Macaca mulatta: one gene and its partner. The protein of the gene in region 1 interacts with the protein of each later gene in a pairwise test. Links are inferred from orthologs where the notes say so. Each region holds a gene or a part of one and is shown on either strand. Other genes may lie near its edges.

The links.
Region 2: the proteins of TRIM32 (region 1) and SCGB1A1 interact in binary tests that used the Homo sapiens proteins (3 or more experiments, as listed by UniProt). The two-hybrid records come from large-scale screens. The link is inferred for Macaca mulatta from reciprocal best matches to the Homo sapiens genes TRIM32 and SCGB1A1.

What each region holds. Positions count from the first base shown.
Region 1 is NC_133420.1:41,594,625-41,598,779, reverse strand, and holds the start of TRIM32 (E3 ubiquitin-protein ligase TRIM32), read left to right. Parts: upstream 1-1,299; 5' UTR 1,300-1,380; coding exon 1,381-3,342; 3' UTR 3,343-4,155. UniProt on the Homo sapiens protein: E3 ubiquitin ligase that plays a role in various biological processes including neural stem cell differentiation, innate immunity, inflammatory resonse and autophagy.
Region 2 is NC_133419.1:11,645,663-11,649,653, forward strand, and holds the start of SCGB1A1 (uteroglobin), read right to left. Parts: upstream 2,833-3,991; 5' UTR 2,724-2,832; coding exon 2,669-2,723; intron 1-2,668. UniProt on the Homo sapiens protein: Binds phosphatidylcholine, phosphatidylinositol, polychlorinated biphenyls (PCB) and weakly progesterone, potent inhibitor of phospholipase A2.

The DNA of each region.
Region 1 (4,155 bases):
GTCTTTATTATTTTAAAAATTATTATTTTAAAGATGGAGAAAATAAAATGCATAGATTTTAAATATTCTCTGTTTTCTTCCTAATACATGAAACTTCTTGTCCTTTCCTTTGCCTTTTAAACTTTGTTAAGGTTGTGCCTTTTGCCGCCTCCTTTCTTCCCTCTCCGTGTGTTTATGCTTCTTTCCAGGCCAATATAAAATGTCATCTTCCTTTTGAAAATTCTGTGTCCCTTCAAATTAGAATGACTCCTCAACCCCCATCAAACTTAGTTTTTATTTCATTTATAGTACTACTTTCTGCCTTCATTATTATTTGCCTACATGTCTTGTCTTTTATAAAGTTTGAATATCTGAAGAGCAGGATCTGTATCCTGAAGACCTCTTGTATCTAGTACAGAACAAGATACCTAAACTTAGATGGGTGGATAGATGAGTAGGTAGGAGGATAGATGCATGGAAAATGTGTATTTTCTGATCTAATGTTTTGCAGATTACCTAAAGCTAATCATCACAATTTTCTAAGTCTGTGGATGATTCCTAGGGCCCCAAACATGACACAGTAAACTCTATGACATGATGAAAAAAAAAAAAACAGCCTCCACACTTTTGCTTACATGGTTTTCTTTGCTTAAAGTACCTTTATCCCTCAGTCCTTCATTTCTTTATCTTAGGAGTGAAACTGCTTTTGGGAAGCCTTCCCCAAGTCTGTTAGGTGGAATCTATCATTCCATCCACTGTACTCCAGCAGAACATTATGTGGACCTGCATGTCACACTTACTCCTTTTACTGTGCGTAATTCTCCTGTGCTTTTCTGTTAGTGTAAACTGTAAGTTGTAAAACTCACCAAATATGAAAGTAATCATTAGCATTTATTAAAGTATACTACTTCCCTGGTGCTATATACTAAGCACATCATATTTATCTTGTTATTTAGCCCTTACAATAACCATTATTCTACAATAATAGATTGTTCTACAATAATAGAATAAGGTAGACACCATTTTTCTATTTTACAGATGAGTGATGGGGAAAGAGCTTTTGGAAGTTTGAGTTACTTCCTTATGGTCATGCAACTAAGTAAGTGTCTGAGATTCCAGAATCTGAATTATTACCCTCTATGCAGTGTTTTGTCTTGTTTGTTTCCCTGTCACCCTCACATGACACATAATAGACCTCAATAAAATAGTTAAGTAAGTGAATGACTGAACGACTGATCATAGCTATTCTCTAAATGTTTCTTGAGTGAATTGATTTATATAATCAGAGGAAAATGAATAATGGTTTCTTTTTCTCTTTAGCAGGAATTTTACCCTCTAGGGCATGAATACTGTGCTGTTCAGTTCTGAGCTGTGCTAGCAGTACCCTTCAAAGGAATAGCAATGGCTGCAGCAGCAGCTTCTCACCTGAACCTGGATGCCCTCCGGGAAGTGCTAGAATGCCCCATCTGCATGGAGTCCTTCACAGAAGAGCAGCTGCGTCCCAAGCTCCTGCACTGTGGCCATACCATCTGCCGCCAGTGCCTGGAGAAGCTATTGGCCAGTAGCATCAATGGTGTCCGCTGTCCCTTTTGCAGCAAGATTACCCGCATAACCAGCTTGACCCAGCTGACAGACAATCTGACAGTGCTAAAGATCATTGATACAGCTGGGCTCAGCGAGGCTGTGGGGCTGCTCATGTGTCGGTCCTGTGGGCGGCGTCTGCCCCGGCAGTTCTGCCGGAGCTGTGGTTTGGTGTTATGTGAGCCCTGCCGGGAGGCAGACCATCAGCCTCCTGGCCACTGTACACTCCCTGTCAAAGAAGCCGCTGAGGAGCGGCGTCGGGACTTTGGAGAGAAGTTGACTCGTCTGCGGGAACTTATGGGGGAGCTGCAGCGGCGGAAGGTAGCCTTGGAAGGTGTCTCCAAGGACCTTCAGGCAAGGTATAAAGCAGTTCTCCAGGAGTATGGACACGAGGAACGCAGGGTCCAGGATGAGCTGGCTCGCTCTCGGAAATTCTTCACAGGCTCTTTGGCTGAAGTTGAGAAGTCCAATAGTCAAGTGGTAGAGGAGCAGAGTTACCTTCTTAACATTGCAGAGGTGCAGGCTGTGTCTCGCTGTGACTACTTCCTGGCCAAGATCAAGCAAGCAGATGTAGCACTCCTGGAGGAGACAGCTGATGAGGAGGAGCCAGAGCTTACTGCCAGCTTACCTCGGGAGCTCACCCTGCAAGATGTGGAGCTCCTTAAGGTAGGTCATGTTGGCCCCCTCCAAATTGGGCAAGCTGTTAAGAAGCCCCGGACAGTTAACATGGAAGATTCCTGGGCCATGGAGGCGGCAGCCTCTGCTGCTTCTACCTCTGTTACATTTAGAGAGATGGACATGAGCCCGGAGGAAGTGGTTGCCAGCCCTAGGGCCTCACCTGCTAAACAGCGGGGTCCTGAGGCAGCCTCCAATATCCAGCAGTGCCTCTTTCTCAAGAAGATGGGGGCCAAAGGCAGCACTCCAGGAATGTTCAATCTACCAGTCAGTCTCTACGTGACCAGTCAAGGTGAAGTGCTAGTTGCTGACCGTGGTAACTATCGTATACAAGTCTTTACCCGCAAAGGCTTTTTGAAGGAAATCCGCCGCAGCCCCAGTGGCATTGATAGCTTTGTGCTAAGCTTTCTTGGGGCGGATCTACCCAACCTCACTCCTCTCTCAGTGGCAATGAACTGCCAGGGGCTGATTGGTGTGACTGACAGCTATGATAACTCCCTCAAGGTATATACCTTGGATGGCCACTGTGTGGCCTGTCACAGGAGCCAGCTGAGCAAACCATGGGGTATCACAGCCCTGCCATCTGGCCAGTTTGTAGTAACTGATGTGGAAGGTGGAAAGCTTTGGTGTTTCACAGTTGATCGAGGATCAGGGGTGGTCAAATACAGCTGCCTGTGCAGTGCTGTGCGGCCCAAATTTGTCACCTGTGATGCTGAGGGCACCGTCTACTTCACCCAGGGCTTAGGCCTCAATCTGGAGAATCGACAGAATGAGCACCACCTGGAAGGTGGCTTTTCCATTGGTTCTGTAGGTCCCGATGGGCAGCTGGGTCGCCAGATTAGCCACTTCTTCTCGGAGAATGAGGATTTCCGCTGCATTGCTGGCATGTGTGTGGATGCTCGTGGTGATCTCATTGTGGCTGACAGTAGTCGCAAGGAAATTCTCCATTTTCCTAAGGGTGGGGGCTATAGTGTCCTTATTCGAGAGGGACTTACTTGTCCGGTGGGCATAGCCCTCACTCCTAAGGGGCAGCTGCTGGTCTTGGACTGTTGGGATCATTGCATCAAGATCTACAGCTACCATCTGAGAAGATACTCCACCCCATAGGGGATGAGAAATATCATTTTCTTCTGCTCCCAAGCCAGCTTCCCTTCCCATAGTTCTTGGTTGTTAGTGGCACATAGAGAATAGACTCGGCATATGTCCTGATTCCAGCTGGGTAGTTCTAGAACTTTAGAAGCTCCATCTTTTTATGTTTTTTATTTGTTATTTTCCCCTCCCCACTTCCCACCTAAATTTAGAGCTTTAAAAGATGCACTGCCCAAATAGGACACGCAATGGTGTTAGCTGAAGTTTGATTAGCAATTAGGCACTTCCAAGGCTTTAGTAGAGAGAGCCACTTTAGCCCTTTGTGCCATGTTTGAAATGTGCCCTTGTATTAAATCCTTGATTTTTTCCCGTTTGGCTCTGATGCCCTTGATCCATTGTTTCCTTCCTATTACAATGTGCTTCATCTGTGACACTTTCTCTTCAACTCTGATTGGATTCACTGTGCATGCTTCAGTGGGATATGCTCCACCTTTCAGTGACATTTCAGACATATTCCTGTAACATTATGTCTCAGTCTGATCGTCTTTACCAGTGTGAAAGCTCATTCATTTAGTGCTACCAAAGGGGATACACAGGCCCTTTAGGAAGCAGTACCTCTCGCCTGGAGGATCTGTGCCATCTTGGATTGAGAACTGCAGATGTGACAGAATGGATTGACCCTAGTTGGTTGGTATTGACGACTTCAGCCTGGAAATTGCTTGCCTTTTAAAGAAGCATAATATGGATTGGAATTATGCCAAAGCATAGGAAGCTAGGAATAAGCAAACAAATGCTGATATAGTCAGCAAACTTGGATAGTCTCTAGGGCTC
Region 2 (3,991 bases), on another chromosome or scaffold:
CCCGCCGGAAACTTGCCTCTCCTCAGTGGCTAGGGATGCCCTGAGCCATGCTTCACTGCGGGCATGTGACAAATTCAGGCTCTGGCAGGAAGAAGCGATTGTAAGCCGGGTGCGGTGGCTCACACCTGTAATCCCAGCACTTTGGGAGGCCGAGGCGGGCGGACCACGAGGTCAGGAGTTCCAGACCAGCCTGGCCAACATGGTGAAACCCTGTCTCTACTAAAAATACAAAATATTAGCTGGGCATGGTGCTGGGTGCCTATAATCCTAGCTACTTGGGAGGCTGAGGCAGGAGAATCACTTGAAGCCGGGAGGAAGAAGTTGCAGTGAGCCGAGATCTCGTCACTGTACTCCAGTCTGGGCAACAGAGTGAGACTCTGTCTCAAAAAAAAAAAAAAAAAGGAAGAAGCCATTGTGATTGTACCAGCCAAACATGGGCCTCCCAACCTGGCCGGGAAGTGTGGCACACTCAGCTCATGGACAGAGCAGCCACTTGTACCGCTGCATTCCCTTCCACACAGAGCTTCAAGACTGTGTTTTCTTCTCAGGTCCTTACAATCAGGAACATGGGGGAAAGTCACCATTTTCTACCCCCTGCTTGCCTCCATCTTCCCAGTGAGTCTTAAATCCCTTGTCCTTGAATTCTCTGCCTCCCGTACAAATTTGCCTTCCCTCCTCCGACTCCAGGGCCTCTCTAGAAAGGGCCACTCTAAGTCAGACCCTCTCCAGAACTTAGGTCCTTGCTTTGTAACTTACTATGTCACCAGGCAAGTCACTCTGTCTTTCCGTAGCTCAGTTTTCTCATCTGTAAAATGGGAACAATATCCCTACTTCATTTTATTTTTTATTTTTTAAATTTTAATTTAATTTTATTTTTATTTATTTATTTGTTTTGAGACGGAGTCTCGCTCTATTGCCCAGGCTGGAGTGCAGTGGCGCCGTCTCGGCTCACTGCAACCTCTGCCTCCCAGGTTCAGTGATCCTCCTGCCTCAGCCTCCCAAGTAGCTGGGACTACAGGTATGCATCACCATGGCTGGCTAATTTTTGTATTTTTAGTAGAGACAGGGTTTCACCATGTTGGCCAGGTTGGTCCTGAACTCCTGACCTCAAATGAGTTGGCCTCCCAAAGTGCTAGGATTACAGGCGTGAGCCACTGTGCCTGGCCCAGTATCCTTACTTCATAGAGTTGTTGTAAGAATGAAAAGAGAGGCCAGGTGTAGTGGCTCACGCCTAATCGCAGCACTTTGGGAGGCCTAGGCGGGCGGATCATGAGGTCAAGAGATCGAGACCATCCTGGCCAACATGGTGAAACCTTGTCTCTACTAAAAATACAAAAATTAGCTGGGCACAGTGGTGCGTGCCTGTAATCCCAGCTACTTGGGAGGCTGAGGCAGGAGAATCGCTTGAGCCCGGGAGGCGGAGGTTGCAGTGAGTGAACTGAGAGTGTGCCACTGCACTCCAGCCTGGCAACAGAGCTAGACTCCATCTCAAAAAAAAGAAAAAAGAAAAGAGATACTATGTGAAAGGGTGACAGTGATTGTCACATTGCGTGAAGTGTTAAATATTGTATGTGTGCGCACACAAATAGACAAATGAAATGCATCTGACCCACCCCTTAACATGTTTCAGAACTATCTTGCTCAGCCACCCACCTCTGTACGCAGACAGCACTGAGATCTAATTAATACACATTTCAGTCCAAGATGATGTCATTTTCTCTGAAAAACAAATAAGCCTTGCTGCAAAATAGTTGTTCCTACTGCTTCTTGGTTTGGGTTTTCTAACTCCCCAGTGTCATAAAACTTATCTCCATGGGTGCTGTGAAGCTTTCCAAGTGAATTAATTGGAGTTTATTTATTAAAAAACAACAACAACATTTTCAGACGAGAATGGAAGAGGCTGATGCAGAGTGAAAAACAGAGTTAGATAACCCAGTTCTCCAAAGACGGGGGATCTTGGAGAGAGGTGTGATCCTTCCTTCCTTCCTTTCTCCCCTCTCTCCCTCTCTCCCTCTCTCTGTCCACCCCTCTTTCCCCCACAATTCTTTTCCTTTTAATGACAGCAGCAACTACTCAGAGACTCCTAATCCCTTTTGCAGAGGACAGAAATGTTTAGAAAACTCCACTCTGGGTTGGCAGTTCCCCAAAGGGAAGATCTCTTTCTGGAATATTCTTCTGTGCCCAGAATGAGAGACCTTGTCTTGGGTTGGGTTTCTTTTGGGGTCATGAGTCCCTGCAGCTCCCCTTCCAGTGACTTCAGCTGTCAGCATGGAGTGGAGACCCCAGACTTGGAGGCTGCACCAAGTTCTCGGCATCTTGGGGTGTGTCCAGGTCTGGGAGGAGGGCCTCATTATTCCTATGCTGGATGCACTCATCTTTATGAGGTGTCCTCCACCCCTCCCTCCAGCCTATTCCATTCCCTGGGATTCTGAGGGTTGCTGGATATGGAAGATGGGACCCTTTTTATGCTTCCTCACAGCCTGGGGCTCTCTCCAAGTTCCCAAGATGAACTTGCTCACCAGACCCAGTTTTCTGAGACTCAGCATGCCCAGGTCCTCCCAGCGGCTACAGAGCAGACACGGGCAGCTCACCCCTTCTTCTGAGCAAAACTGGGTGGTCCTGAGAGTTCCTAAGTCCAGGAGGGAGGGAAGGGACTCTGAGCACTCACCGGAGCTGCAGTAGAGAGCCAGCGTGACCAGGGGGAGGGTGACAGCAAGTTTCATGGTGGAGGCGGGGGATGCTCTGGCCCATCAATGATTCCGTCTCTGAGACTGGTGGGCTAGTAGGAGACATGCCCAGCAAGGTGCTTTTTATATGCTCCAGGCGGCAGCGCCCAGATGGGGAAGGGTAGGGCAAGGGCTCTACGTAAGATACCGCACTATTTGCTTGGGCATTGGCTCGGCGGAATAGGTAAATATTCCCGTTTCTCAACTCAGTTTCTGTCCCCATTGAAACTGAGCTCACACAATGGGCCCCTTGGGGGTGGAGTGCCGAGCCATGCCTGAAGGCAGTGAAGGGAACCCATGTCAGAGGATGGGGAAACCCAGCTGCCTGTGTCAGTCACTGAACCTGGGCACTGGGGCAGTCCAGGTCAAGAGAAGCAATTGTGGAGCCCACCTGGAGAAACTGAGGCCCAAGGTCCCTCCCAAGTGGCAGGGAGAGGACTAGGACTAGGACTTAGGATGCTGACACTCCACTGGGCTCTTTCATAGGCTCCCCTCTGAGGAGGGCGACTGAACCTTAAGCCAGGAAAGTGACATGGTTCGGAGCATTGCCGTGGTCAGACTTGGGGGGGCCCTGGACTGTTGAACAAAAGGGACCCTTCCAGAATTCCCATCAGAAACCCGAGCCCTGCCACAGGCTGGGTCTGTTCCCACCCAGAAGTGCTCTCAAGTCCTGTGCTCCTGATGGGCCAACTGGCAGGACCTTCAGTCCTTATCTCACTTGACCTCCCAACGGCCTTGACACCTGCGACCGCTTCCTTCTCGAACCATTCTCTCTCCTGCGCTCCCACGCCTCAGTTCTTTCCTGTTTTCCTTCTCTGGCTATTCCTTCTTGTTCTCTTTAGATGTTTATGCTTTACTGTTCTTGAGTGTTGATGGTTCCCAGGCTTTGGCCTTCTCCCCTTTCTTGCCTCCAGTTGCCATTTCCTGGTTCTTCTCCAAAGCCCGGGCTTCATAGCACCTAGCCTGGCCTAGTCAAAATCCCCTGACTCAACCTCCCTGCTTCCCAGCTTGCTTTCCTCAGCCATCCTCGGAAAGGCCATCGGAATGATTTTCCTAAAGCCCATTGGTCATGTCCTTCTTGAAACCCTTAAACTCTTCCTTTTGCCTATAGAATAAAATTCAAGTGCAATTTACAAGGCCCTTGCCCACTGGCCTTTGCCTACCATTTGAACTTCACTTCTCCTCTCCCCGACACAGCGACTTAGCCCTCTCTTACTATTTGTGGATTCGAGAATGTTCCATGTTTTTTCATGTCTTTCTACCTA